Linked DNA regions of Xenopus tropicalis. The protein of the gene in region 1 purifies or fractionates together with the protein of each later gene. This does not show direct contact. Links are inferred from orthologs where the notes say so. Each region holds a gene or a part of one and is shown in the gene's direction. Other genes may lie near its edges.

The links.
Region 2: the proteins of smc3 (region 1) and rec8 purify together in Homo sapiens (affinity purification with mass spectrometry; 3 studies listed by BioGRID and IntAct, with this or other methods). This does not show direct contact. The link is inferred for Xenopus tropicalis from reciprocal best matches to the Homo sapiens genes SMC3 and REC8.
Region 3: the proteins of smc3 (region 1) and cdca5 purify together in Homo sapiens (affinity purification with mass spectrometry; 7 studies listed by BioGRID and IntAct, counting the BioPlex papers as one, with this or other methods). This does not show direct contact. The link is inferred for Xenopus tropicalis from reciprocal best matches to the Homo sapiens genes SMC3 and CDCA5.
Region 4: the proteins of smc3 (region 1) and pds5b purify together in Homo sapiens (co-immunoprecipitation; 7 studies listed by BioGRID and IntAct, with this or other methods). This does not show direct contact. The link is inferred for Xenopus tropicalis from reciprocal best matches to the Homo sapiens genes SMC3 and PDS5B.
Region 5: the proteins of smc3 (region 1) and wapl purify together in Homo sapiens (affinity purification with mass spectrometry; 7 studies listed by BioGRID and IntAct, with this or other methods). This does not show direct contact. The link is inferred for Xenopus tropicalis from reciprocal best matches to the Homo sapiens genes SMC3 and WAPL.
Region 6: the proteins of smc3 (region 1) and usp13 purify together in Homo sapiens (affinity purification with mass spectrometry; 4 studies listed by BioGRID and IntAct, with this or other methods). This does not show direct contact. The link is inferred for Xenopus tropicalis from reciprocal best matches to the Homo sapiens genes SMC3 and USP13.
Region 7: the proteins of smc3 (region 1) and nipbl purify together in Homo sapiens (affinity purification with western blotting; 4 studies listed by BioGRID, with this or other methods). This does not show direct contact. The link is inferred for Xenopus tropicalis from reciprocal best matches to the Homo sapiens genes SMC3 and NIPBL.

What each region holds. Positions count from the first base shown.
Region 1 is NC_030683.2:2,842,162-2,846,266, reverse strand, and holds part of smc3 (structural maintenance of chromosomes protein 3), read left to right. Parts: intron 1-518; coding exon 519-683; intron 684-4,105. UniProt on the Homo sapiens protein: Central component of cohesin, a complex required for chromosome cohesion during the cell cycle. The cohesin complex may form a large proteinaceous ring within which sister chromatids can be trapped.
Region 2 is NC_030677.2:139,340,510-139,345,363, reverse strand, and holds the start of rec8 (meiotic recombination protein REC8 homolog), read left to right. Parts: upstream 1-1,736; 5' UTR 1,737-1,808; intron 1,809-3,183; 5' UTR 3,184-3,346; coding exon 3,347-3,402; intron 3,403-4,491; coding exon 4,492-4,560; intron 4,561-4,854. UniProt on the Homo sapiens protein: Required during meiosis for separation of sister chromatids and homologous chromosomes.
Region 3 is NC_030680.2:33,589,249-33,594,074, reverse strand, and holds the start of cdca5 (sororin), read left to right. Parts: upstream 1-1,526; 5' UTR 1,527-1,895; coding exon 1,896-1,947; intron 1,948-3,228; coding exon 3,229-3,284; intron 3,285-3,723; coding exon 3,724-3,786; intron 3,787-4,731; coding exon 4,732-4,770; intron 4,771-4,826. UniProt on the Homo sapiens protein: Regulator of sister chromatid cohesion in mitosis stabilizing cohesin complex association with chromatin. May antagonize the action of WAPL which stimulates cohesin dissociation from chromatin.
Region 4 is NC_030678.2:153,095,908-153,100,012, reverse strand, and holds part of pds5b (sister chromatid cohesion protein PDS5 homolog B), read left to right. Parts: intron 1-466; coding exon 467-593; intron 594-1,782; coding exon 1,783-1,863; intron 1,864-3,579; coding exon 3,580-3,720; intron 3,721-4,105. UniProt on the Homo sapiens protein: Regulator of sister chromatid cohesion in mitosis which may stabilize cohesin complex association with chromatin. May couple sister chromatid cohesion during mitosis to DNA replication.
Region 5 is NC_030683.2:49,072,980-49,077,084, reverse strand, and holds part of wapl (wings apart-like protein homolog), read left to right. Parts: intron 1-120; 5' UTR 121-142; coding exon 143-644; intron 645-4,105. UniProt on the Homo sapiens protein: Regulator of sister chromatid cohesion in mitosis which negatively regulates cohesin association with chromatin. Involved in both sister chromatid cohesion during interphase and sister-chromatid resolution during early stages of mitosis.
Region 6 is NC_030681.2:108,744,753-108,749,316, reverse strand, and holds the start of usp13 (ubiquitin carboxyl-terminal hydrolase 13), read left to right. Parts: upstream 1-1,392; 5' UTR 1,393-1,815; coding exon 1,816-1,926; intron 1,927-4,564. UniProt on the Homo sapiens protein: Deubiquitinase that mediates deubiquitination of target proteins such as BECN1, MITF, SKP2 and USP10 and is involved in various processes such as autophagy, endoplasmic reticulum-associated degradation (ERAD), cell cycle progression or DNA damage response.
Region 7 is NC_030677.2:197,901,608-197,905,712, reverse strand, and holds part of nipbl (nipped-B-like protein), read left to right. Parts: intron 1-407; coding exon 408-568; intron 569-1,140; coding exon 1,141-1,234; intron 1,235-2,383; coding exon 2,384-3,001; intron 3,002-4,105. UniProt on the Homo sapiens protein: Plays an important role in the loading of the cohesin complex on to DNA. Forms a heterodimeric complex (also known as cohesin loading complex) with MAU2/SCC4 which mediates the loading of the cohesin complex onto chromatin.

The sequences.
Region 1 (4,105 bases):
ACCTCCTAGCTCTAACACCAGTGGTCTTCTTAACTAAAAAAAAAAAAAAGGCTCCAAGGGATGCTACAATCAGAAGCCATTCTTAGCAAAACTAATAGTGTTGTACTGTTTTATTATGAGACTTTGACCCTAGAAAATAAACTGAATGGAAACCATGGTTAAAGCATATAGCAGAGATTGGCCTGCATCAGCAGCCCTGGTATCCCAAGACCAGAACTCCCAGCATCTCTTCAACTGAACTGCTGGATGAATTATGGGCGCTTATGCAACATATGAATAGGAATGCCTGCCTATTCTTGGGGTTCAGTTATCTCTGCAGTCATTTCAGTACAGATTTATAAGAGTTAATGTTACTTTATAGAAAATTTACAAATAGAAAAAGTATTGTGATTTAATTCTGATTTAATATAATCCTGAGTCATCAAGAGTAGACTGTCACTTAGTAAGTGGGCTGTGTGCTTTCAATAATGTTTTTTTTAATTACATAGCCGGTTTTATATATACTTTTATATTAATAGGATATAGAACGGCAAGTTCGTGAATTTAAATCGAAGATCTCTGCAATGAAAGAGGAGAAAGAACAGCTCAGTTCCGAGAGGCAGGAGCAAATTAAACAAAGGACCAAGTTAGAACTTAAAGCTAAGGATTTGCAGGATGAACTTGCTGGGAACAGTGAACAACGTGTAAGTAATAACTCGCGTGTATCTGGAAACCACCTGTGCAGCCATACTTGCTAAAGAATACTATGTGGTGCCGTACAGAAAAGCAGAGAGCAGCCTGTTTCTCTAGCGGCCCTCCTGTCAGTGCAGATGTTAGGGTTTTGTCTTGAATCACCTCTGGAGGCAGGACAGAGAATTGAAGCTTAGTGGCTCCTGGTCCCTCCCACTGTATATAAGGCACGTCTCCACCTTCTTCCCTTAGTTCTTTGTCCTGCCTCGGAGGTGTAGGACAGATTCTATCATTACCATTTTTTTTTTTTCTCTTCTCTATTATTTTTATTTTATTTCTTCACATCAAGCATTCATGGGCAATACAAAGGACACGCAGAGCTGTCCTATTGGATCCAGGATTATACAGGCACAGGGCACGCAGAGCTGCCAAAAAACTGGCCTGACACACACATCATTACCAGTGCACGCAGAGCTGCCCAGAGTTTATTGGAACATATCATGACCAAGGCACGCAGAGCTGCCCGGTACTGGCTTGATATACAGCTTAACCAGGGCACGCAGAGCTGCCCCACAGTTGGCTTGGCACATACTATTCCCAGGGCACGCAGAGCTGCACTATCCTTGAACCAGCACACATACGTGGCAGAGTGGAATACAGCAAGGAGCTGTATACTTGGTGCCTAGGAGCAGGCTTATCAACGGCAGTGGGGCGCGCACAGCGCCCATCTCTAAGGAGGACCTTTACCTTGTGCAGCAGGCACGCTTAAGAAGGGCCCCCCAGTATATGCGGCATCGCTTCCACAACCGCGCGCGTCCTGGTTGCTAGGCTACTCTGTTTCGCGCCAAAGGAAGTGGCGCTCTGACGTCACAGGCGTGCATCTGCACAACTATTCAGTATAGTTTCATTCTACTCCAGCTACAGTACACAGCGATACAGCAATAGATTATCTGAATCTACTAGTTGTGAGTACACTCCGGTCTGCATTAATAACAATAATGGAAAGGTCTGACTCACTTAAGGACCTCAGAGAGGTGGTACAATCTGCCAAAAAGCAGAAGAAGCCTGATAAGGCACCCAAGTGCAAAGTGTGTAAACACTCCCTCAGAAAGACTGGGAGAAATTATTGCTCTGACTGTAAGCCTGCCTCAGAGCCCACAACTTTGCCAGACCCTCCAATGCTTTCTCCACAAGTAACACAGGCTCAGCCTTCACAAGAGCCAATATCAGCACCAGGCACTCCCCCCACCAATACAACCACCTACAGCAGATACCCCCGTACCTATGCCATGGGATACAAATTCCCAGGCCCACACATCCAACCAGGTGCCAGCTCAGTTTGGAGAGTTTTTACAGTGGATAATGAACACTGTTCAACCCACACCTAACCAAGGGGGGCGCAGCAAACCCTGGATTAATAAAAAGCGCAAGGCGACTGTTACACTATCATCAGAATCAGAAGAGGGCTTAGCCTCAGATACTGAGGCAGAGGAGACCTCTAGTCACAGTTCAGACTTGTCTATTCCCTCTCATCCACAACCTGAGTCAGACTCTGAGGAAGAGGGATCAGCTTCCGCTACACCAGAAATATCAGAGATTACTGCGAGAAATGATGCAGACATTAGAGATTAAAGATGAGACAGTGACCCGCTCCAAGGCAGACAAATTATTGGGTGTACAAAAGAGATCTAAATTCGCATTCCCAGTATTCAACTCCCTCACTCAAGCCATTGAGGCAGAGTGGAATCAACCAGAGCGGCGTATCGCTCTCACACAAAGATTCTTTAAAACTTATCCTGTACCCGAGAAATACCAAAAGAAATGGGACAAGACCCCAAAGGTGGATTCAGCGGTTGCCCGCCTATCCAGACAAACAGCCTTACCAGCGGAAGAGGCTGCATTTAAGGACCCACTAGACCGCCAAATGGAATCTGTTCTTGGAAGACACAAAGTAGACCCTTTCGTTCCTTTTGTCAAAATTTCAGAAACTCCCCGACTGACCAGACTGCCAGACAAGGTAGACCCCAATGGCAACAACAAGCACATGGCACCAAGAAGCCTAGCGGCAGCAAGCCCGCCTCACCCTGACTCGGCCCTGCAAACAAGGGCACAAAACATGGGGGGCAGACTTCAACAATTTATTGGGACATGGGAGACACATGTAACAGACACTTGGGTACTATCCATCATTCGGCAAGGGTACAGAATACCCTTCTCCCCACATCTTCCGGTGGGAAGGTTCCTTCCATCCTCCACAACACCTCAAAGAGAACAACTCCTACAAGAGGCAGTATCCACACTGCTACTAACAGGGGTAGTGGAGGAGGTTCCAGAACCTCACAAATTCAAAGGCTTTTACTCCAACCTATTCCTAGTACGGAAAAAAGAGGGCACCTTCAGACCGGTCCTCAACCTAAAGCCCCTAAATCCAATGGTTTCAAATCAAAGGTTCAGGATGGAGTCCGTCAGATCAGTGACTGCGGCCATGGAACCAGGAATTCTCATGACCTCCCATAGACCTGCAAGACGGTTATCTGCACATACCTAGTTCCCCACAATCCAGAATATTCCTCAGATTTGCAGTCAAGAATTCTCATTATCAATTTACAGCATTACCCTTTGGTGAAAACGCGTGGCGCAGTACATAGTCCAAAGTCCTTACCCCTATCGTGGCTTACCTAAGATCATTGGGAGTACACGTCATACCGTACTTGGACGACCTACTGATCAAGGCCCCCACAGCAGCACAAGCAACTATGGACACAAACTTGTGTCTCCGCGTACTGACACAACACAGCTGTTTAATCAACTACCGCAAAAGTTCACTCTCACCGAGCCAGACAATCACATTCCTGGGCCTTCGGTTCAACTCCAAGATGCAGAGGGTGTACCTACCCCAAGACAAGATCAACACGTTGATATTTACAACCCAGTCATTCTATACCAAGCAGAGAATCTCTGCAGAGGACTGCTTGCGCCTCCTGGGCCTCATGATATCAACCCTGGAAGCCGTCCCCTTTGCCAGATTCCACCTCAGGCACCTGCAACACAACTTTCTGCAATATTGGAACAGAAACCACCAAGACTTGCGACAAATAATCCCCATTTCACAGGCGACCAGAGACAGCCTCCTCTGGTGGAGAACAGAGGACAACCTCCGTCAAGGGAAAAGTTGGGCAACCACTACCTGGGAGGTAGTGACAACAGATGCCAGCCTCAGAGGTTGGGGGGCAGTCTACCAGAACCTCACTCTTCAGGGGACCTGGTCCAGAGAGAAGAGTCTCCTACCCATCAATGTACTGGAGCTACGAGCGATCGCATTAGCACTAGAACGCTGGTCAACGATACTCCACAACCGAGCGGTTCGGGTACAATCCGACAACGCAACGGCCGTAGCATATGTCAACAAACAGGGAGGCACACACAGCAAGTTGGC
Region 2 (4,854 bases), on another chromosome or scaffold:
TTGGTAAAATAATAGCAACCTGTGCTATTATAGAAAGTGCAAATGCTTTATTTTCATGTTGCATTTTCTTATATGTGTCACTGAACTTCTTCAGTAGTACCCCCAGTTTCTTTGATGGCTGTTTTTGGTAGGTTACGGTAGGGATGCTCTTAATTAAGAATTAAGTCTGAATTTTAGCACTTTTTACAGGGTTCCCGATTTGTCTAAATACTTGCGTTTTGGCTAAATGCTTAGTCAAAATGAGAGTTTAGATTCAATTGTATCTGGCCAATTCTTTCGTAGAGGATTCAGTATTTTGCAAAATCTCAATATATTAAATTTAGTGGATCCCCAATTTTCAGTAGCATTAAATATAAATTGTGAAGGCGCAAACACTTTATTTCTAAAAATGTAACTAGTTTATAGTATATTGAATTATATTTCATATATGTACCATGTATCTGTATGTGATTTTAAAAAGAAGTAAATTTCAATATTCTTCTGTTACCATGTCTTTTGTTCTTATTAAATAACTGCATGCTGCATTTGGCAGTTTTCTATAGACACTAAGGAAAATGATGGGCTGCATTTACTGACAAGTTCACTTTTGGTAGAATACATAAAGAAGCCACACAAAGGAACAAAGAACAAAATGCATGTGTGTGTATGAGCCCTAAGGGTAAAGACACTTGGAGCTACTAGAAGCAGCTACTTGTCACAGCTACTAAAATAGACAATGCTGATCATTTTATGATAACTGTCTCTACATGAGTTTCATCAGAGAAAATTCTTAGTATTGTCTATGGCAAGGTATTTTATGGGAGTGTAGTAGCCGTTACAAGTAGGTGCTACTAGTAGCCCTGTATTTACTCTTAGGGCAGTGGCACATGGGGAGATTAATCGCAGGTGATAAATCTTCACTATTGCGGGCAACTAATCTCCCCAACATGCCAACCTACCGGCAAGAATGGTATACGCATAGCTTTGGTCGCCCGAAGTTGCCTCGCAAGGAAACTTTGGGCGACTTCAGAAAACCGAAGTGCTAATATTTCAGAAACCAAAAAAAACTATAAATTGCAAAAATGCTTAAGTAAAGAGTATGTTTACAGCAAGTTAATTTTTTCGAGTTTAGACCCTCTTTAAGTTGGTTGACCTTCTCCCCAAGTCATAAAACAGTGGTTGTGGGGATTTTTCAGTTCAGGTTCCAGGTCCACCCTTTGGTCAGCACCACACAGCTTTACAGGTATAGGAAAAAAATATTTGTGTATCAGTCATTTGCTGCAGTTCCAATAACATTTGGGGGTTATTTGTTGCCCTAAATCTCCAAGGGATTTCAGCAGTATCTAAACAGCAAATTGGCAGGCTCTGTAAACTTTATTCTACCTGGCAGCCCCAGTTCAGTTAGGGACCAAAGTCAAAACGTTCACAACTAGTTGACTGATATTATTAAGACGTATGCTGAAAAAATGAGCACTGACATTCTGATAAGCAAGCAGCCTTCGATAGCTCATACTAGTGATATGCTGTACATCGCCAGCAAAGCGCGGGAAAAGTTTAGCACTTCTGTCAGCTCTAGGGACCTGGCAACTGCTTTACTAGTGGGCAATGCTTCTACACGTCACTCGTACATTAACAGATGATTCGTCCGAAGATCTGGGCTGCAAGTGGCGGTGAGTGACCGGCTAAACCCCGCCGCTAATGACGTTCTTATGTACCATTGGTGCCATGAAAATACTGCTTGTTATGACAAGTGAAGGGGCGAAATCTAAATTGCATGTACTCAATAAATGGGAACGCGATCCGAGAGCAGCGCTGTGGGAAAAATAAAGGTGAGAAAACACCGCTATATTTTATCAAGTAAATGGCGCAGTTATGTGCGCTCTTGGAGCTAAATAGATAATCACACATTTTGTGACTAGTTTCATTATAGAAGCTAACCACAAAATGTGTGAACAATATCTATTCCTTAATTTACCTAACTTTTTAGGTTCCTCCGTTGAGGTGAATTTGTATTTTATGTTTTGTTTCACTTTTTGCTTGATTATCTCAGTTTAAAAAAATACTGAGGTATTTAGATCGATAGACATATTTACTAATGAGGCATTGTAAACTGCATATGAAATCACTATATAGTCAAATCGAGTCAAATCCTTTTTTAATCGCACTTGTGTGATCCTGCTATGCACAATGCACTATAGATTCATGTTCTCACTTGCGCCCCATTCACTGGTACATGCGGTGGCACTTCTGCTCATGCCAGTAACATGCAGCTGTTGGTCTTAGAGACAGTTCAGATAATCTCTAGATTTAGGAAATTTAGCAATATATCATTTGCTGCAAGTAACATCACCCAGCCTAGCTTTACATACTGGAGGATGTGGGAGTTATAGTTTGTGAACAGCAGAAAATCTGCAGGCATTAGGCCATTTAGAATTGGGCCTTACACCACTAAACTTGCCACTGTATATCATGATGGGTTATATTATTATACATAGTCTTGTCTTATTCTATGGCACACAGTGTATATTGACCTTTAACAGAACTGAGGGTTCCCACACAATGGACCTTTTCTGCATTTGAGATGTAGGCAGATGCAAATGTAATTGCATTTTTTTACATGCAACATGCTGGATTTTTTTTTGTGCTTGACACATGTTCATAACTCACAGTAACATAGTTCAATTTAAAAAACACATACCATGCATGAAACTATATATGGTGGATCTTGACAACCTAGTGATCTGGGCGGCTAAGTGGGATATAAAATTCATTGCATATAAATATACGGTTATGCACTTGGTATTAGAAAAAAATTAGCAGACTGCTTAGAAAACTGGGGTAATGGCACATAGCCTTTCTCCACTTGCAGAGAAGCTCATTACCATTGTTTATTTCTCCTATGGCTTCAATTGGTACGATCAGAAGTTTGTGTGAGCATTTTTCCACTAGAAACTTCAGCACATTTTTGATTGGAAAAGTATTACAACGTGTAAGTAAAGTTGCCAGAGAAAATGATACTTTTTAGAGGAACCCATTTTTGAATTAAGTATCATTTTATCTGGTGACTTTAGGAAAATGTATCTTTTTTTTAACCTCCGTAAAATGGATGTAGTAAGGAAGGTAATGTAGTAGTCATGTATGTAACAGGTAACTGTTGGGTTCTAATGAGCAGCAAATATTTTACATTTTGTATTAATTGTGTAGAGATTAGGCAATTGAGCGAGAAAGGATATCAGTGGATAACTGGCATGAAAAAAGGAAAAAGTGACAACTTTCCAGGGGACACAAACATCTGAAGAGTTGGTGGAGAAAACGAGTAGAAGAAAAATTAAGAAGGGTGCAAAAATAGCAGCAGCATTTTGTTGACATGTTTTATTATCCAAACGTGTTGCAGCGCCACACAGGATGCTTTGCCACTATATGGTAAGTACATTTGCAAATGAAAGAGTCAAAGTCTATGCACTGAGGACAGAAAGCATAACACAGCCAAATTAATACTTATTAATGTAAATATATAGCACTACATAATTCAACAGCAGATTCAACAGCAGTAAACATGCTAAGATCTCTCCTTTTATGTACATTCTGGGTACTGCTGGGTTAGACGTACGTCAGGGATCCCAAACCATTTTACCAGTGAGCCACACTCAGTTGTTAAAAGTGTTAGTGAGCCACACAAGCATGAATAAAGTTCGTTTGGGGGACAAATAAGGACTGTGATTGGCTGTTTGGTAGCCACTGTGTTTTTTCTTTGTTATTGACAAGGTGTTTAGACATAAATATGTATTATAGATAAAGGGTTTTGAAGTTACCTTACTGGTTGTTTTTATACAGACACTTAAAGATCAATTTTTTAGGTAAAACACTGAATTATTTGTTGGTGTCTACATCTAAAACCAAGTATCTTTCAGTAACACTTGAATAGCACTTCATAATGTTTCCTTAAACTAGAAGGGGTATATTGAAATGGTACATTGCAAACAACTTCTGGTGGTTGTAAATATCTTCATGGAAAGCACTTGGGTTCATCTCTTTTTGGTTAAAATAAAAAGATAATACATAGCTCAGTGACAAGACAAGCAACAAGGGTTATTTGTAGTTTAACATATAATTAATAGCCAGCAATTGCTGTAATTCAGGGAATAATTTATTGTAGCATCACATTATCTCAAAGTTCATTTTGCTAAACACACAAAGCCACCTAATAACAATGTATTGTGTGGAAAACCAGTGGATTTCTTAGCATAACTTGAAAAATTGTGACTGCTTTTAATGTAATAAAGCTTTTAATGTAAAAGTCCACATTTAAACAGTTGAGGTAAGAGAGTATTTTAGGATCTTATCTGTTTAGAAGCATCAGAAATATGTGAAATTATTGTTGTGTGTTGATATTAGTACTGCCCATGCCAAATTGGCAGCATCTTGACAACATATAATGCTGACCTGGGCATAACTTGTATGTATCAGGCAAAGGCTTTTCTAATAATTTTGAAGGTTATGTGTATTTCACAGGTTGGCTGCTACCAAAGGCACTAAAATTTTGAAACGAGAATACTTAAAAGTGAATGTCATCAACACGTGGTATGTAAATGCACACACATTTCTACCTGTTTAAAGTGTTTTTATTCCTAATTTCTCTCAGTAATTCCCTGCCCCAACATGTTTTGGTTTACTGCCTCTCTGTTGCATTCATTTGGACTCATTTATGAAAAATAAAATAAAACATGGGTGCCAAACTCCCTGTTATGTTTAAACTTTGCGTGATACCTCACCTCTTGCACCATAAAGCAAAGCCTATTGTGGTGCTCCTAAAACAGAATGCAAAGCATTTTGCTTCACTCTGTATGCAGGCGGGAACACTTAGGGGACAAGGAG
Region 3 (4,826 bases), on another chromosome or scaffold:
ATTCAAATACAAATTAACTTCTGTATGTTTTTCATGGTTCATATTGCATAGAGTACACTGAATAGAAGCAGACACATGTATCCAAATTATTCCCGGTGGCCTTAATATCATAAAAGATAAAACCAAATTTCAGAAGTATTTGTGCCCATACAGGGACAAATTTCCAAGGGGACACTAATTTGTATATAATGCTACCTGTTAATTTTCTATTAACCTCTGAGAGAGCTGTTTTACCCTGGGCAACTTCCTATATGGCCAATGCAATAAAAAAAATCTTTAAAGACATTGGTTGTTGAAGAAGACACTTGTGTGTATTTGCTAAGCCAAGTCCTCCTGACTTTGACACATTAGGCTAGTTTAACTATACTGAAACATATGTTCTATCTTTGTTCCAAGTTGCATGGGCATTTTTAGTAGTTATTTGCAGGAATTGTACTATAATATAAAGATACGGGTAAATGAACAGAATGTTATTTTTCTTTGTAATATGTGGTCACAACCTCACTGCTTCACTGATGAAGAGGAAAGCTTACCTATAAAGGATAAGGACGGGTGGATTTATTGGAGGTGCCAATGTGTTAGATACCTCTCTGATGAATCCAATCAGTAAGTTTTTCCTGGGGGCTGGTGCTTTTTTAAGGAAAATACTGCACCCTCCCAGAGAAATAACCAACAGGCCACAGTGCTGCTATTTTACATGTCTGTCACTAGGTTAACCATCTTTTCTGGAAAAAAATACTGGCTTTTTTATACTTTACATTGGCATCTATCATCAATTGTACTGGTCAGGGCAGTAAAATCCCAGCCCGTATTTTTATTTTTTTCCCTATTAATAAAATTGGCACCAAGCTTCAGTTTTACAGGCCAGATGGCAACACAAACGCTATGTGTCCCTGACACTGACTGACACTCAAGCATGTACAGAAGAATGAATAAGGCAAAATGGTGGAGAAAAACCTTACTAAATCCTTTTTTTTTTTGTTCAGAGCATCATATACTCATCTTCCATTCATATTTTCAAACAACTGTCTGGTTGCTTCAGTAACTAAGCCCTAACAACCACAAAAGTCGAAGCCTGCGAGCTGCAGAACAAAGTACACACACTTGTCTCTGTATATTATACCACTATGTTTCTGTTGAGATTTCAAAGCCTTGAATCCCGTGACAGCCCGACGTGGATGGAAACCTGAAGTGGTAGCGCAGAATCTGTATAGTTATACTATTCGTAGTCTCATCCTACACATAGCAATGCACCTACCTGCCTAGCGCTATATACACACAGCGGCCTCACGCCCCAATGCTCTCCCTCTTGCCAGCACTCTTCATTCACTATTCTCCCCTCCTGTTTCCATCCGGCACAGCTGGTTTACTATCTTTTTCCTTAGACAACCCTTTCCCACTCTTCTCTGCCACGTCTCTTCCGGGTGACAGTGACAGCAGCGTACGCGTCGCCCCGTTGTGACGTCATTTCCTCGACGCGCAGGGTAGTGGTTCTAGCAGCACAAGCGAACGTCACTTCCACTTCCGGCTTACAGAGCGGGCGCGGGATATTTGAAAGGCTCCTATTTAGTGACACTGGCGGAGTTTAAAGTCGGCTTCTGATAGTTTATACAATTCAGGAGTAGTAGGAGGAGGCTACTTATTTGTGCGGGTTACTAAGGCCGCGCAGTTCGTGTATGTAGAATTGTACCTATTACATAAAGGACTATAAGGATCCAAGCGATGTGTATGGCTTATAGGCTAGTGTGTAACCATGCAGCAGCCTCTGGTCGGTGGTAAACCTTAGTGAGCCGCGGCTTTAGATTATGTTAGAAGGTGCTAGCACCACTGGGGACTTTGTCTATAATAACTAAAGGACAGTTTTACAGACGGAAAGGCTATCGACACCAAGCGCCATGTCGGAGCGCAAGAAGAGAAGTAGCGGTGCAGAGTCCCGCAGAGGAGTAGGTGAGACCTGGGGTATGAGGGGCATTTGGCTAACAACGTAGCAAGTTATATTCTTATGCCATATTATTTAGCGCTGACATATTCCTGGGAGCTTTGCAATCTAAGGAGCCTGTAATATTCACACACAGTCAGGCCAGCTTTACCTGAAGCCATATAACCTGCCTGGATGTTCTTGGAGTGTGGAAGGAAACTGAAGACAGCAAAACTTACAGATGTTTTGAAATTGGACGCATTATTGGCTACATCTTATATAAAGGGTCCAGTTTATTAGGGTCACTAATATTCACATTTAGATCTGAACACAGTCTGTGACCAAAACATTGTCTTTCAGGCACTTTTAATCCTTATGACAAAGGTTTGGATCTGATTTAGCTGTCTGCTAAGGGTTCGTCTGGCTCTTGCAAAAAGCTGCTCAGATTCACGAGTCCCAAACGAAATCCTGGATCTGAGGCATCCTTGTTACATGCAATCGAAACCTGCCACCGGTCATCCAAATATGAGAGATCAAATAATAATTTATAAATATTATAGCAGATAATACATTAATTGTACAAAGGGACATGTCATTAAAAGTTTTCAGTTTGCTTATTATTGATATAAAGATAAGTATTAGAGTACATAATATATACACTATCCTATTTTCCAGACATAGGAATATTTTACTTTTATGCAAGAATGTTTATTAAGCTTGCCACACACACCAATATGATCATGTCGCACCAATATATTCATCCAAAACAAAGTTTCATACAATTTTTGGACTGTGTGGCATTCGAATTATCCTCCAGACAATTTTTATACCATGGCAATTAGAAACAGCGCTGCATATTTCTACTGTATTCCAAATAATGTTGAATGTGTTTTTTTTGCATTATTGCAGAATGTTTCACATGATTAAAATATCTGCCTATGTGTTTTTTTTTTTTTTTATAATAATATTCACAAGTGGACTTATTACAATAATTGGTTATGTTCCACTGAATACCCCCTCCCCTTTTGAGTACTGCTTGGCATTTACTTGAATGGGAAAACACTTTTTGTACTAGTAAGCTGATATAGTTTGGGAAAACAGATTTCCCGAGTGATATTGACATTATGGCAAATGTGAATGGGATGCTGATGTTGGCAGTGGTGTTCCTTCCTTTCAGGACCTGTAATGATCAAAACTCTTGTGATTTTTACCCTCATGTTCTCTGCCATAGTATGTCTGGGGATGTTTTGATTTGTTGTATATTATTTTAACACTTGTATCTCATTTTTTGCCACCCTTTTCATTTGCAGGTATCGTCTCTCCACCTAAAAGAAGATCCCAAAGAAAATCTGCTTCAGACAGTCCGGTATGTTCTTTACTTTCCATCCCTCTATTAGCCAGCTCCATTCAACACTCTAGTAAAGGGAAAATCCACCTTGAAGCAATCTTGTCCTGTTCTTTTAAGTTGATCTTCACTTTCCATAGTTGTTATAATTTGCATTCCTCTACCCATTTCCAGCATTTAAAAAGATTCAGAGACCCGGCACCCAAAAGACTATTGATCTCCGAATCTACAATTTTATTGCAACTTGCCCCAGTCCCTTTTACCTTCCAGTCTATTATTTAAACCACTGTCTTGCAGCTGTGGTACATTGGACCCTAGCAATCAGATAACCTAAATTCCAAATCCACAAAAAATGAAGGCCATTTGGAAATCATCTGATAATATACTGTCTACACCATACTGAAAGTAAATTAAAGGTGAATGACCCCTTTTAAGTTATTTTAAATTTTGTATTTTTCAGATCCCAGATCCTATCATGAAACGTTCAATTACGGTCAAGAAAATAATGCCCAGAAAAACACTGGTAAATATACTGTCGTGTTATGAAAAAAGAAAGCTTTACCCTTCTTCTGATATAATAATATTGGGGACTAATGCATATATAAAAGGAAGTAGCTAGTTCCGCTCACATTAGTGCTGAGTGAAGCAGGGGGAATAATATAGCTACTTTGTGACTCACTACAACACCAGGTGGGGAAATATAGGCACCTAGGCTTCATTTAATGGTAATTTTTTCCTGGTGCCAATATAATTATTTCTCTGGGAAGAGCATTACCTTTTTTGTAAATCCTTACATTCCCTGCTGCAATAGTGTCATTCTCCCATTGTTCAGCACTGTAAATCTTTGTTGTCTTCAGTTCATAGTGTAAAAATTCTTTGTATGTTTTTATCAGTAAGATGCTACAATTTTTCCAAATTGTTGTGCATTTTTCTAGAATTATCAGAATTCTTGATTATTAATTATATAGGAACAGAAGTAAGATAAGATTTAACTTGTGCCAATCTATAATATATGATTATGTATTGCATGTTTAGTGTATGATTAGGCAATGCTGATTTACATTGGTGTATTTCCAAATTGCTCACTGATGTATTTTTGTCCTCTGTTTCCAAAACATAGCTACCAGCTCAGATTCCAGCATATGTTTTTTAAAACTTGCTCTCACACTACTTTTATTTAATTTGTACTTACCTGAACTGAATCAGAAGCATTTTTTCTAACATTTCAGACTCAATGTTGCTACTATAACTGGTTTCAGCACCCAAGGCCTGAACCTGACATTAGCAGAGTACAGACAGACTGCTGTATTTAATCCTCACATTCACATGGCAGAATCTTAGCCTTTGTAAGCATTATTTGGGTTGTACCAATTTCTAATCAACAGCAAAACTGAATTTCATCAAAGAAAACTGGTGCATTCCAGAATTTTTTTCTTATTTTCTGTATCATTCCTATTTGTCTTTTTAGGCAGCTATTGCCAATACAGGATCTCAGTCCACACCTAAGGTAGGTCTTGACAATTTAAGTAACAAAAATCTCATGATTTCCAGCATTTAAGTGAT
Region 4 (4,105 bases), on another chromosome or scaffold:
CTAGAAAGTAGCTGAAATAAGACTGAATGCAGAAAGAAAGGGGTATTGTTATTCTGGGTACTATTGAGTAACTTTAGAGAGAGAAAAAGTTTTTTACTTATTATTAGATATTGTGATTTAGGCAGGCAAGACATCCTTTTCCCCTAAAAAGTATAGATAGGAGCTGTTCTGCAATTTGTCTTACTAAAGTTGTCTCCATCTTTATGTCCTTCAGGAGAATAACATTATATTTCCTACCTGCAAGTGCTGTTCTGTATAATGCTTATGCACAGCACAACTTGCGCTATTCTAACAGATAAACGTCATGAGGTTTATGAATTAAATGGTACAGATGTCAAAAAGGCATTTGTATGTTCCATTACAGATCATTGACTCAGTAAAACTGTTGCTTTTTAATAAGGATAAGGGAGACTGCATAGACATTTTTAATTGAAAAAGTAACTTTGCCAATTTCCTTGATTTTTAGTAATGGACACAATCAGAAAGTTCATATGCATATGGTGGATTTAATGAGCTCTATAGTTTGTGAAGGCGATACCGTTTCTCAGGAGCTGCTCGATAGTGTCCTTGTCAACTTGGTTCCTGCACACAAGGTATATATTTCTCAATATTATGGGTGTATTGCTAATAATAAAACTGGTATATAGATTATATATATTCTACTGTTCTTTGAACTGTTTTTGCACCCTCAGAAAAACTCATGCGTTGAGTTGTAAAACTTAAACTAAGGATTCTAAAGGCAAAATATTTTAATTGATATTTGTGTTCTGTCTGGAATAGGCAACTGTTTTCGAAAATACATCTACTAAATATTTTTTACTGTTTTTTTTAGTATGAAACAAACGTTGTTTGCATTTTAAACAACTAATGTTATTACCGTTTCACATTTTATGACCATCCCCTGGCTTCCGCTTTACATGTATCCCCAGTAGAGTTATACTGCTTTCGCCAGTGCCTTTCTTCTGCTTGTCCCAGCTGCACCTTTCTCCTGTATATTGCAAAATAGTTGCTTTGTGCTACACAGAAGGCAAATATCAATTAATATGTTGTGGTTTTTATGTTTTCGTAAGCAGATTTAAAAGAATTTGAAAACTTGTATTGTTCCTCATTGGTTACAAAAAAGGCATCCGAAATTAAGTGAAACATTTTCCCACAAGATGATAAATTGTTAATTGTATTATTTTTTAACACTCGGATGTCTTATTTACTGCCTGTTGGTTCTTTCTCTTGTGATGTACCACAGGGCTACCTAACTCATCCATATTCCCTCATTCACAGTTATACATACTGATGCTGAAAATGATGCGCATTGTCTTTTACAGTAGCCATGACAAGTAGCTGCTTCTAGCAACTCTATGTCTTTACACCCTTAAATGGACAGTATACTCCGGTTTTCAACATGAGCTTGATAAATGGGGCATGTACATAACATGCTTTTTGGCTATTGTGTTAGTAAGAAAATATCTATTGTTTCTGGCACTAAACAAGAAAATAAAAAGCACTTCTGGTAACTTCCTGGCCGAACGGTTGGATGAAAAGCTAATACAACAAATCACCTTTTATGTCCCTCACCCCTCCAACTGAATGTACAGTTCTCTATTGTAAATGTGTGTTTATGTATTTAAATGCATGTGTGCGTGTATGTATATAGTGTATGATATACAGTAATAATAAGGACATTTTCCACTTTTTACATTATCTGTGGTAAATTGTTTGGGTTTCAGGTATTGGCCTGTGGTTCTAGAATGATACCAACCAAATAATGTGTGTTTTTGGTTTCAGAATTTAAACAAACAAGCTTATGACCTGGCAAAAGCTCTGCTTAAGAGAACCGCTCAAGCTATTGAACCATATATTACAAATGTAAGTTTCAACTTAAAAAGTAATTATTTTTAATACTGTTATTTTTCTTAAAGGGAAAACCAATGAAATGAATTGATGCAAATATACTAATGGTGCTTTTCTGTACCCTTGTACTCTTTACCTTCATTTTCTGAGATATTTTTATGTTTAGACTTCTGATAACAGGTTTTGGCTCAACTGGGAGTCAGCAACTAATCTCCCCAATATGACATCCCACTGGATTGAATGTAAATCGCCGGTGGGATGGCATATGCAGCGACGCGATTTTGGGAAATCACAGTGCTGCATATGCCATCCCACCCACGATCTACATTCAAGCCGGTGGAATGGCATATCGGGGAGATTAGTCGCCCGAAACAAGGGCGATTTGACGTGGGCAACTAATCTCTCTGTCTACCACTGCCCTAAAATGGATCCAGAATATGCATAAACAATTAGCGCCATGGCAGAGGGGGAAATCTTTGCTACTGTGGGTGAAAAATCTTAAGCATACCTCTTTGCTAACATTCTGATTGCCATGTTAAAACACCTGATTCACCTTTATGTTAACTTTTAGTAAGTTATAGAATGTTCTATTCCTAGCAACTTTTTAATTGGTCTTTCTTATTTATTTTGTATAATTTTTGTATTAGTTCTGTCTTCTACATCTTTCCAGCTTTCAAATGGGGGTCACTGACCCCGGCAGCCAAAAAAAACTATTACTCTGTGAGCTTATAATTTTATTATTATTGTTACTTTTTATTGCTTTTATTTTTATAAGTCCCTCTCCTAGTCATATGCCAGTCTCTCATTTAAACCACTGCCTGGTTGCTAAGGTAAACAACATACTAACAACCGTATAGCTGCTGAAATGGAAACCAATTGCAAGTTGTTGTTGTTGTTGTCAAAATATCATTGTACATGTCATACTAAAATCTGAAGGTGAACAACCCCTTTTAGCCAGATCGCCACATGAAAAGCATTTTACATGCAATGATCAGAATGTTAGTGAAGAGAGGTATTTTCAGGTTTGTTGAGATTTGTAGCGATTTGACATCCGCAGGTATTGCAGATTATCAGCTGGCCACAAATCTTGTTAGCCACTGCCTTTAGGGTTGCTGACACTGTCCTTTAAAAAGCTGTTGAGCTGAAAGCCTGTTGTTAAATTTGTTTGGACTGAAAGCCCAGTGAAGATAAGCTTTGGTTTGTCATCTTCCAGTTCCCAATGGCCTGGTTCATGGTGCATTGACATATGAAATTCATGCCCAATTAACCAATGACTGACCGTCACAGTACATGGATAGTGCTCGTTCCATCATATATTTTAACAGCAGAATTTGCACTCTGAGACATCTTTATTACCTGGTTGGATATACCTGTATTTCATAGTGAATGAATACACAAATTAAAAGTTTAGCAATAAATCAGATTATATAAAAATTGGCATAGAAATGGGTACAGGTAGAAAACTAACATTTACAACCTTTGTCTTTTGTAATTGTTCCCATTGATTTAAATAAAAATTGGAACCGTAACACCAAAATATGAAAGTGTTTTAAAGTAATTAAAATATAATGTAATGTTGCCCTGCACTTGTAAAAACAGGTGTGTTTGCTACAGAAACCCTACTATAGTTTATATAAATAGGCTGCTGTGTAGCCATGGGGACCGCCATTCAAAGGGGTGAAGTAAATCGGTCCATTTTATACTAATTTTACACTTTTTTTGCATTTGCAGTTTTTTAACCAAGTTTTGATGCTTGGTAAAACCTCCATCAGTGATTTGTCAGAGCACGTCTTTGATCTGATACTGGAGCTCTACAACATTGATAGTCATTTGCTTCTTTCCGTTTTACCTCAGTTGGAGTTCAAGCTCAAGGTAAGTAAGATGCTTTAATATTAAAGAAACCCTACCATTAAAGTAACCTTTCTGTGTCATTGAAAAATGTGAATTTGTTAGCCCAGATATTACTGATAAGCATAATTGTCTAGCCCCTGCGCCAGTGTTAAACGTGGTGTTTTTGGCCCACCTAGAAGAAATCAGGAGAGTCTAGCCTATGAATATTCCCTTTTGTAGCTAATATGTAGGAGCATTAATATATAGTGGTCTGGTGGTACAGAAAATGAGGATGTTAGACTTCACCTAGGAGTTCCATGACCTGTATAAAACTGTAGACTACTGTATATTTATTTCTGCCATCCCCCTTTTCTTCTAAAAACTCTTATTTGCTTCTTATTGATGTGCTGTATATGTGTGTGTATGT
Region 5 (4,105 bases), about 46 Mb from region 1:
GAAAAAACATCCCTTATCTGGAACACCACAGGTCTAGAATATTCCGAATTACAGGTCTCTAACTTTATTTTGCATTTTGTTTTTTTTCTGTTTAATAAAAATTAACTTTCTCTTTTGCAGAGAATATGAAACAGGCTTCAAAATGACATCAAGATTTGGGAAAACATATAGCCGCAAAGCTGGAAATAGCAACTCCAAGTTTGATGAAGTATTTTCTAATAAACGAACCACTCTTAGTACAAAATGGGGAGAGACCACCTTTATGGCAAAGCTTGGGCAGAAGAGACCAAACCATAAGCAGGATGTTAAAGATACTCCTAAGAAACCCAAAGTTGATGATGATCTCACAGAAGATCCATTTGGATTTGATAGTGATGAGGATTCAATCCCAGTATCATCAAAAAATGTCCCACAGCCCAAGAACAGCATTCAACAGCCTTTGGAGCATCTTGCAAGTTCAGACAACTTTACATCCATAATAGAAGAAAATAATAAAGCTAATCAGCCAATCACTGCAGAAACCACAGTGTCATGCAAATTCATTTCTTTTGATAGTGCATTGCATGGACTCAGAGAAAAGAATACAAATAAAATAGAGGATGGGAAGAGAAAACACAGTTCTCCTAAGAAAAAAAACATTACAGGTAATTCTAAGGATTTTGCTGGGATGACCTTAATCTTTCAAGTGTAATGGTATTGGTTTATTAGAAGTGCAAATTTTAAAGTAAACACAAATGTAAGAAATCCATTTCAGCCTGCAATTCACACTGATAATATATAGCTTGTATTTAAGATTTTATATGTTAAGTAAGAACTGTGCCTTAGTTTTAGCATAAAGATTTTCTTGGGAAAGTAACAAAAGGGCTATAAGCAGTCTCCCTGCGAACACAAAATGTGTTTTGTGTTTATCAGTTTGAATTTTCATAGTTAGTAAATAAAATTAAGTTTAAGTGATTTGGATGATTTCTTGAACAAGCATAATATCCAAGGCTATTGCGATACTAAAATTCTACAATGATGTTGGTATATATAGTTTATGTATGTGAGTGTATAGATAGGTCAGTATTGGGTCTATGTGTGTTCGTGTGCTAGGGTTTGCTTGAAAGGGTTGAACTTGATGGACTTTTGGCTTTTTTTTTTTACTTTAACCCAACTTAACTATGTAAATATGAAAGAAAACTAAATCAAAGAAAAATTGTACATGGAAATTTCTGCTAGTCATTTTGGTTCAGTTTATCTATATAGGTATACCACTTAAATGGTAGTAAAATGTAGAAAATTATTTTCAGTGACAATTTGCAATTAGTCTTTTTCTGTGGTTTTTTAATTATGTATGAGAAGAATGCATCATTGCATAGGAAAATCATTTTGCCAATGTGTCGTAAGAAGCATTCAACCTTAGTAAAAATATTTAAAGGCTACATTTTCCTACATTGTATATAAGTTGGGCACATGTACCCCACCCAAATGACATCATTTATACTGCATATATCCCCTCCATTTGCCAGCACCATCGCATTTTACTACAACAAATTACAGGTTTCACTCAGCAGCCATTTTCTTCAGTGACTTTTTTTTTTTTTAATTTTTATTAGGTTTTATATTCAATCCAACATTGCACTGAATATGACAATAAGTAACTTTTCAAAGAAAATAACATTCGTAATAGGCATAGTGAGGTAGATTTGAGAAGCTTTTTGTAGCTCCTACCGCCTTTTACATAAAAATGCAGAAAGGAAAGAAAAAACAAAAGAGAAAACATAGGAAAGCTGTCCGTTGTCAGGGCTGCTTATAATTGTTGGATTGGGTAATTATGTCGGGGGATGATGGGAAGAGGGGGTTCTAGACGGAAGATTGTCTGATAGGAGAGAGAAAGAAAAACATCAAAAAACACAATTTGTATTATATTCAAAACCTATCTAACATTTGTTCCAACGTTAAATAGTTCCTTAGCCCTTAGGATTGTTTTACGGACGCGGTCCGGCAGAGTCAACCCTCGTAACAGCATTAGATAAATTTGTTTTCCATACATCCAAGTATGCTTGCCATAGTCGCCATGTGGCCCTGTGGTTTTGTGTGGCCTTGTATGAATCTGTATGTAAGTCCTCAAATTTGCTCTTCAGTGACGTTCAGTGAAGTTTATGCAATGAAGAAAGCAGTATTACAAAGGCAGAACTTAATTTAAAAAAAAAAAGTCCTGCTTGGACTGAGCACTGTATTGTTAAGGACAGAAGGTTAGGTGAGAACAGCTCAGTATCTATGTAAACCCACAGTGCCATCTCTTCATTGGCTGCTAGACTTGAGGGTGTGTTTGGAAACCTGAGATGAGAAGAACTGAGCATGATCAGTAAGCCAAGAGCTAAAGTCAATTCCTAAAGGAGGGGGCGAGTAAGTTACAGGAGGAGAAGGAATCCCAAGTGATTAAAGGGATGATGTAGCCTTACTAATGACCTTCAAGCAAACGGAGTGGCTGGTATTTATAGATTTCTAAGAGGCTGTATACTGACTACATTTTTGTGTGGGGGGTTTACATGTACTTTAAGGAGTCTCAACATCAATCTAGCATTTTTTTTTTCTTGTTCTTTATTCTACTTCCCTCTCTGAATCTTTTCAGTAGTCAAAGTGTTAATTTATATGTGTTATAAGTGTTTGGATACTTAGATTACTATATAAAAAGACTAGTTGGTGAGTGATTATTTATAGAGTTTTTGGTCAGTTCAGATTTGCATTTCACACAAAAAAATGTAAGATTGGAGTTATTTTTAAAGAAAATTATAAACCAGCATTTATAAGGACTATTATACAATTGCAATGATTAACAGAAGATTTTATGATTTTTATGTAAAACTTGGCATGCTATTATATGAAAAAAACGTTGATGCTAGTCTCTCACAGTCTGTATACAGGCATTGTACTACTGATATAGCGTATCTACAAAACATTTTGTACACTGTATCTTTATTATCTCCAAAATCCCAACAGTACAGAAAAATGTTATAGTAAAAAAGCCATGACTTTTTACACTCTAAAGTGTAAGGCAGTGACAGTGACACAAGGAGAGTTTAATTGCCCATGGTTAAATCTCCTTCTGTGACTAATCTCCCTGATATTCCTTTCCACCAGCAATAAACTGAATTGCTAGTGGAAAGGCCTATGTGTTTTCTGAAGTCGCCCGAAGTTTCCTGCTTTTTTTTTTTCTTTAAGCAAGAAAACATTCATTAGAAAACCATTTGTCACTATCATTGCTCTAATTGTAAGCTGGTAGCTTTTAGCTCAAATGAGTTTAATTTAATTCTAAGCAGCTTTTCATTATACATAAATTAAAAATGTGATGTAATTCCAATTTAGTTAATCCATTGCCTTCTGCTACATTGTTTCATGAGTCAGAACTGGCAGTTTTGAGAATATACACAGGCCAGTAGATATTGCTTTAACATTGCATTTATATTTATAAATAAACAATCACTGAAAAAAATGTTTTACTTGTATATTAGAACATTGCTGAAAGGGGCGGTATATACCCTTTTTAGCATGAGCTCAGTAAATCAGGCTTGTACCAAACATACTTTTTTTTTCTTAATATTTTAATTTGGAGATATGTTTTTATTATTACTTGCATTATATAGGAAAATTAAAACTTTCACTATCTTCATGCAGTATTAAATCTTCAGGATAAAATTTTTCAGAATTATATATCTGTTGGTTCCCACAATGTTACAGGTTTTGGGCTGTCTATACATACAAAGTGACATTTGTAAAAAAAAATTAAAATGCATCATTCGTATTTTATAATCTCCTTAAGCCACATAGTTTAGGTAATTATATGCAGCATCAAATATTTCTGTGGGCATGCATAATGTATAATGATTTGTCTTCTGTTGTAGCACATATAGAAGGTAAGATGCAGCAAAGTGCCAGTTTTGAGTCAGTTATGTTAAAGGAGAAGGAAAGGCTAAGTCATTTGGGGGTGCCAAAATGTTAGGCACCCCCAAGTGACTTAATCGCTTACCTTGTACCCCGGGCTGGTGCCCCTGTACGGAGAGAACAGCACCAGCCCGGGGTAGCAGCGAGCACTTCCCTCTTCCTGCTTCATTTTGCGGGACCC
Region 6 (4,564 bases), on another chromosome or scaffold:
CTTCCTCTTTGGCTTCTACCTATGGAATGGGGTTGACTGGGTAAAGGTGACAGGCCCTTGGTTAAATCAGGGAACAGGGCCCCCATGAATGAGGCTTTAGATTGGTGCAGGTGTAGCTATCATACCAGCACACTCTAGGAGTGTAAGGGCGTGAGGGTTGTGCTAGAATAGCCAATTCTAAGCAAATTTTCAATTGATTTTTATTTATTTATTATAGTTTTTGAATTATTTGCTGTTGTCTTCTATCTCATTGCAGCTTTCAAAATGGGGGTCACTGACCCCATCAGCCAAAAACCTATTGTTCTGTGAGGCTACAGTTTCATCGTTATTGTTAATTTTCATAAATTGATTTTTGATTTAGGTCATATAGCAGTCACTCATTCAAACCACTCCCTGGTTGCTAAGCTAATTTGGACCCTAACAACCAGATAGCTGCTGAAACTCCAAACTGGAGAGCTGCTAAAGAAATATTTAAATAACTAAAAATCTATGATTAATTAAAAAAGACCTCCTGTCTCCAAATATTTCTCTCCATCATACTGAAAGTTAACTTAAAGATGAAGACCCCTTTTAATATTTTAAAAAGTATTTTTTTCCTGCCAGTATCACCTTAAAGAAATTGTTAGTGGCCTCTGGGTGTATGGCAACATCCCGTTCACATAAATAAAGAAAAAAATTGACTGTACAGCACTTGCAGATTCTCAAGGGTGATTATCCCATCCATTGTGCTAAACCACAAATCATGGTTAAAAATGGCTAAACCAAAATTTATGGTTTGTCAAGTGGAACAATATTGGGGTAATCTTCCAGAACATATGGACTTTCCGTTGCTAATTCTTTCCTTTATATTTAGTGGCGACACAGGCAGCAGCAGAAGACAATATTTCAGACATTTAATTATAAATTAGGGCTGTCCATGTTATGGCCCTTCAAGGCTCTTGAAATGCTACTTCCAGCACAATCTGAGATTTGCAGGAAAAACATTAAAAAAACAAATCATAAACTCCTTTAAGGGCAGTTTCATTTTTCTGCATCATTTGCACTTTCTTCAAAGTACTGTAGTTGTATTTTTATGCAGAGGAGCAACAGCAAAGTTCTGTTCAACGATGTTTGGAGCCTTTGACGCATTTGCCAATGACTTCTGCAGCGTTTGTTCCGCTGCACGCCCTACCCTGTGACAGAATGCAGAAACTGTTTAATATTAGGAAGAAATGGGACGGGTTAAAGTTTTATAACTAGACTCAAGTACTATTAAGAAAATCAACTGCAAAGTTCCAAGAAACTGGCCAAACAACCATGTGAACCCAACGCTTTAAGCAACATAAGGTGCGCCTTGTCACTTAACACAGGAGGTGGGCGTGTCAGGCTGCCCCCTAGCGGCGCAATTCTCGGGAGGCCAAATGCGCAGATTGGAAATCACATGGGCAGTGTATGAGGGTAGTACTGGCAGTATAGAAAGCCTAGATCGCTGATATTCAACTTTTCTCCCTCATGGATGACTATTACTGCGCTAGGTCCTTTACCGTTGCTGAGTTGAGCGCTATATAATAGGAAATATGACGCGGGGGATCTCTTGCTGTGCCGGGGTAATGTCGGACAGGCTGTGAGGCACAGTAGCCCAGCAGCAGAAAGAAATAAAAGTTGGTCTGCTATAAATAGCGAACTACCTCCCCTCCCCTCCGAGCAGCGGCAGGACCCAGCGCTGGGCTGACTTGCTATTGGATTAAAATAGCATCATCTGTCCTGCCCTCCCATGCCTGGGCCGCAGCCGGGCGCACAGTCCCAGCACTGTTAGGGAGCAGCAGGAATGGGAAGATGGCTGAAGACCTGGGAGAGCTGCTGGTCCCTTACATGCCCACCATCAGGGTACCCAAGTCAGGGGACAGGGTCTACAAGACGGAGTGCGCCTTCTCTTATGACTCCCCTGTGAGTGAAGCTCGTTTGTCTTTCCCCCTCCCCACAGCATGCATCTTGTTTGGCTTTAGCTGAGATCAACAACACGTGAAGGGAGATGCGCAGCCGCTGCGATTGGCTTCCCCCTCCCTGCAACAAATCCAGCCGGGTTATTCGCTCCTTTCCCGTGTTCTGATACAATTGCAGTACGATACATGGCCGTGTGGTACCTGCTCTTCCTTCCCACAGTGACACTGCATCTGATTCTAGCCCTCTGTCAGCCTCTGTGGTGTAGGAAGAGCTGGACCCAAAGCTACTACATTGGCTAATAATGTGGCTAGTTAGGGGAAGGGAGCCAGCCCACTGGGTAGTGTAGTTCTTCTGTAGTTCCTGCTTTTCTGTTCATACCATCCATGGCTTGTGGGGATCCAGAGTATGTTGTACTGGAAGTGCCAGCAGCTTTGGTAGTTATAGTTTGGAAGAGTTGTTATTTGGTTATCCATAATTGTTGTGCTTTGGGATAATTGTATATTGTTAGCTTTGACATTGCTTTACATTTTAGGGGTTGCTTGTGTTTTTCATCCATGATGTTGTGTTTTGCAACAATTACAAATATCATTGTTGCCTTTAATTGTCCAAAGTCACATGACTTTAGGGGTTCATATTCAGTTTGGCTGAATCCAAATCCTGTAAAAAGTGCTAGAACTGGGGAGAATCTTGAACCGGTCCAGGAATTGGCTAATCCTAGTACAAAACCTAGGTTACACCACATTCCAAAGGCTGTTCGGGGTTCTGGGCCTTGCAGCTAGAGGATTCAAGGCTGAACATCAATGAATTAGTTATTTCCTAGCCCTGCTTGTTTGGAGGGTCTTATTTGTTACATATTTGTTTTTGTTTCTTGCAATGTGTATCCCCTACAAAGTGCCATTAAAATTAACAATGCATTTTATTTGTGGACTTATTAAAGCTTGGCTTTCAATCATTTCACATTTGAATCATTGTAACAACACAACATAGCCTGTTAATAAATGCTACCAAACCAAAGTAGCAGGCTTACGCCAATGGCACATGGGATGTTTTTCCTGTCACTGCTTTCTTTAGTGACCTATGTAAAAATATGCAGTCTATACTTAATGGGACACGTTTTAGTGCTTATGTGTGGGTGACAAGTCACTGTTAAACAACTTTACAAGAAGTAAATAAGTATTATCCTTGTCCGCGCTCTTAATACAATTAAATGTGTGTTAAATTAGCTAAACTACTTTACAAGAGTATAATAGTCATCACACAGATATGCTATTGCCCTAAAGCAGGCATAGAACTGACTGGCAGAAATTGCCTAAGAAGCACCAAAACCTTTAAATGGCCAATATACCCCAAACAGTTCAGTTTTATGCTGCTTGTATTACAGGGCATTTGTTTTCCCTCTCACAGTAATGTTACCAAATTATTCAGATAGAAGGAAAACACTATTTGGATGAAATCTGCAGTATTCCTGACTTTTAATTTGATCTGGTAACCTTACATTACATGGAGCAGCACTTATGCACGCCCAGGATTGTGCACTGCACTACTGCCTCATCCCCTGCATATGGGGGTTATTCTCCAAAGCATGAAAACCAGAAAGTATGCATTAGTTAGGCACTGAAGTTCTAGTTTTCACAACAAGCAGGATAGTGGTCTGTTACTGGAATTTGTAGATCAAAATGTTTGTAGGCTGTTGAGATTATTTAGAAAGCACACACAACATTTCACAGACTTGTTATAAAGCTTGTTTTGGTCACACATGTTATTTTGCTTTTCTTTTTCATTTTTTGCCATCTAAAAATCTTTAATCTTCATGTAAAATGACTCAGCTGTCTGGCGTTTATCACATATGCTGGAACAGTTATTTTTATCCCCACACTTAAAGTCTCAAGTGTCGGGCAGCAGTTCATCCTCCCAGTAAAACAGCTCGGTCTGTACAACCTTTGAGCCATAATACTGGTAAATATCGGGGGTTCTCTAAACATTCCAGTACATTATTAAAGAATTTGTAAATTGCAAAATACCATTGGCTAGAGTAATTATTCAATTTCTTTCCTCTAGCATGTGACAATGTTTGATATACCTATTTTGCTACAGGAAACACTGATAGATAACCTGCAGCCATTCTTTATCTCCTCTTTTCTTTTAAATCTGATTTTCTGCTGAAGGGCAGATGTATAGCTTTTGGATGTAATAGTGCTTATGTTCCATTTAATTTAATGGGGCATTATGAAGATCAAATAGTTGTGAGCACATTAAACAAGAATATCCCCAAGCCGGAGTGCTGCGTGATAACACTCTTTTCCACCAACTTATATGGTAATTTGGAATTGGATTTTTTTTTCACTGGAGTATATGTATGTTGTTTAGCTAGTTACACTTATGAGGAATAGTACATGTATGGAATTCGTTATCCAGAAACCCATTATCCAGAAAGCTCCAAATTACGGAAAGCCTGTCTTCCATAGACTCCATTTTAATTAAATAATTCAGATTTTTAAAACGTATTTTCTTTTTCTCTGTAATAATAAAACAGGACCTTCTATTTGATCCCAACTAAGATATAATTAACCCCTATTGGATGCAAAACAGTCCTATTGGGTTTAATTAATGTTTTATAGTTTTTTTAGTAGACGTAAGGGAT
Region 7 (4,105 bases), on another chromosome or scaffold:
CATCTTGGGTTAAAGACTTATGTGGGTAACACAACTTTTTCTTGCTCAGCATGTTGCTGCTGCTCTTGGCCTTCTTCAAAATACTTTCAGCCTGTTTTTGGGAAACTTTTTTTTTTTTTTTTTTACTATAACTGTACACAGACATGGCATATCTGTCTTTCATATGCAAGAGTGTCATTAGTCATACAATTTTATTATATTTTCAATATGCTGCGACAGAGGAGAGTAGTTACTAGATTTGTTCAGAATTTATTACATTTCGAAGACCCTATTGGGGTAAATGAAAACTTGTTGGCAGCTCTGATATGCCTCCTCTTGCATTGCTTTGTTGGTGCCCAAAGATTTTTGCAAATTTTGTCTTCTTTACAAAAGCAAGTCTAATTGTTTTTTCTTTTCTGCCTTTATAGCTTCTGTTTCAAGCCCTATAGTTGCTGGGGGGCTTAGGAATCTACATGAAAATAAAGTTTCTGGGCAGCTGTCAGGCAGCTCTGCAAACCATCATGCAGATAATTCCAGGCATGGCGCTACTGAGGACTATCTCCAGATGGTGCACAGGCTGGGTGGTGAGGTATGTTTGTATGTGTATACTAATGGTGTATACCTGGCATTTGACTTCGTTCGGCTACGTATATGTCAAAAACCCTGTCATGAATGTTTTCAAGGATGTTTTGTTTCTTGGAATTAAGATGTTCCCAAGTTGTGGAGTTCTGCTTCATAATGTTTAGAATTTAAACATTAAATGGATACATATTTCTAGCACTTAACTTTTTTTGTCCTCTCTCCTGTGGTAGCACTTAATGTAAGAGAATTATAATGATATATGCCACCTATTTAAGATAATCCTGAAGGAAAGTAAAAATTGCCAAGAAAAGTGCTTAGAAAAATACTCTAAGCCATACCCCACTTTTAAAAATAGGGAATATATTCACACTGTTAAAACTGTTAATCTTTACACTATTTCACACACAAACCCAATTCAGTCACAAACACTTTGTTCGTTTTTTCTTGTTCCGCTCAGGAAGTTTTAAAAATTCTTGAACACAAGCAACAAAATCACTTACTCCTCCATTACTTATGAACCGAATAGCTATTTTGCAATGAACAGTTATTTTACAGTGTGTTTCTTTTTAAATTTTTTAGGACAGTGATTCTTCAATAAGAAATGCTGCTTCCTTTTCTCTCCGCTCTCCGCAGTCTGTGTGCTCTCCTGCTGGAAGTGAAGGGACGCCAAAAGGTAAAGTTGAGATTTGTCTTAGCTGTCAATAAAAGGCACCTATCACTACAGCGCTAGGCTACCCACACCCAGAGTGAGCTCCTGGGACAGGAAGCCATGCTGTGGCACAGATGTGCATAACTCGCTTGTTATGCACGTTTGTTTGAAGGTATAAATCCAATAAATAATTTCAATCTAATATTTGGACATTTTAAAGGGGTTGCTTACCTTCCAAACACACTTTCACCAGAAATAATGTTTTTTTTTTTGCAACTAATTTTAGTTAAGCAGTAGAAAACAAAGTTAAAACTTGTTTCTCCCTCTTGTGTCCGTTGCATAATCCGGGTGCAGACTGAACTGTCACACTCTATTAGATCAGTTGATACATTTCTCAGCAGCAGCTGCAGAGCATTAGCAACTGTTGTATCTTTTATAACAACTTAAATTTATGAAACTTTAGTATTCTTTTCAGCTGGGCCACAGATGATAAATGTATCAATTAATGTGTCGGATTAGAACAGTTTACAGAGGGGGGGCTAAAGTATTGTTTGTTTTTTATTTTGTTATTTTTAATTAAAAATGGAAAGCAACTGAAGAAAAGTGTGTGTTTGATGTACTATCTGAAAACAACTGAACAGCAGCAGCATCTGTATTTATGGGAATCAAGTAGTCATAGTTTCTGAAACATTAAAAAGCTCATATCTCATTTGCATTAAAACAATGTTATTCTCAGTTTTGCTGCTGTTCAAATGATTTTTACTTTTTAGATGATTTTGCTTGCAAGCTTCTTTACACTCAGTTAATGGAGAAACTCTGTTAAATTACTCCAAACGGTGACATTCAAAATATTCAAAAGTCACCAAGGCTGCCCAGGTAGTTCTCTAGTAAATCCGTGGCATCCATGCTGTTGATCCACTCATCAGAATCATTGACTTAACTGCAGAGAATGAACAGATATTGAGCACTCTGCAGTATTAGAGAATAATGGCTGAAACCACAGTATAACATATAAAAAGATAGCATTTTAGAGAAGCCTTTATGTGAAGGGTATGATGCTGGTTAGGTCCATTGACAGGTAGGTTAGGTTTGTTATGACTGATACACATCTAGAGCTATACACATTAACCTTGAAAAACATTCTTAATTTTATTCCTCTTTTTTTTCATGCAGGATCAAGGCCATTAATACTACAGACACAGCCTCCTCCATATTCCTCTCCCAGGGATGCTCCTCCTGACATTCTCTTGGACTCCCCAGATCGAAAGCAGAGGCGACCAAAAAAGTTAAAGATAAGCAAAGATGAGAAGGAACAGACTGAGAAGTCTGCAATGTATGATATTATTAGTTCTCCTTCTAAAGACTCTACCAAGCTCACTTTAAGACTAACACGTGTGAGATCTTCTGAAATGGACCAGCAAGGAGATATGCTCTCCACTATGGAAAACAGTAACATGTCAGAGGGAGATAGCACTTTTAATGTGCAGTTCCCAGGGAATGCTTCAAAAACACCGGTCACTCCACAGGACTTAAGTCGCCCTTTGAATGCTGCTGCTTGTTTTCAGGAGCAAACTGAATTCTTACAGGTGCAGCAAGTGCCTGTTTTACAACCCAACATGTCAGCAGCTGCAAAACCGCCTCAACCTCTTGTGGCTCAATCACAGCCCCAACAAACAGGAAGCATAACGCCATATGACGAAGTGGAACTGGACGCTCTTGCTGAAATTGAGAGAATAGAGCGGGAATCTGCTATTGAGAGGGAACGCTTTTCTAAAGAAGTTCAGGACAAAGGTAATATTCCACCTGTTAAGTACAGTCAAAGCCAACTAATACTTCTGGTAGAGGTTGTTTTCAAGCCAAAAACATTCATTGTACAAATTCTGTGAGCCAAAAACCACTTGCATCTGCAGTGACAGGTGGTTTTAATTTGCTCAATGGGGATAGTGCTTGGGTATTCAACTAGGGCTAATATTCATAAGCATTTTTCGTGGATGGTATTGGATTGACAAAGAATTTGCGACAAATTGCATATAGCCACCTTCTTCAAATATAATGAGATTGATAAAATTGGATGCATAAACTACATGTTTATTTTTTCCATCCAACTCAACTGTCCGATGCGAATGCGGCATGCTGTGTCTGCATCCGCGGCAATCGCTATATTGTTGCATCTAGTCTGAGCGGCTTTTTTTGGAGCGCTTTTGGAGTTTAGCCCTTAGCTTTAGGTTTCCTGCAGATAAGAGCTTTGTCTTTTAAATAGTTGTTGTTTCCCTTGTCTCAAATTTTGTGGGCTAAACTGCCATGTAGCTTGGTTTGTCCAAATTTGCCAGCTGAGATTTTGTTATGGTTCATAACAATTTACTGTTTTTGTTGGGGGGGTGGGGTTCTGTATATGCAGTTCAGTTTTTAAGGGTTAAGGGCTCTGGTACACGGGGAGATTAGTCGCCCGCGGCAAAACTCCCTGCTCGCGGGCGACTAATCTCCCCGAGTTGCCTTCCCCCTGCCATCCCACCGGCGAACATGTAAGTCGCCGGCGGGATGGCAGACGCGGCGGGGCGATTTCGGGAAATCGCCGAAAAAGCCTCGCAAGTCTTTTTCGGCGATTTGCGCGAAATCGCGCCGCCGCGTCTGCCATCCCGCCGGCGACTTACATGTTCGCCGGTGGGATGGCAGGGGGAAGGCAACTCGGGGAGATTAGTCGCCCGCGAGCAGGGAGTTTTGCCGCGGGCGACTAATCTCCCCGTGTACCAGAGCCCTTAGAGACGCAGAGCTACTAGTAGCAGCTACTTGTCGTGGCTACTAAAATTGACAATGCTGATCGTTTACTGATAATTGCCTCTGGGTGTTTTAGCAGAGGCAATTCTCAGTGTTGTCTATGGCAGGGGATTTTCTGGA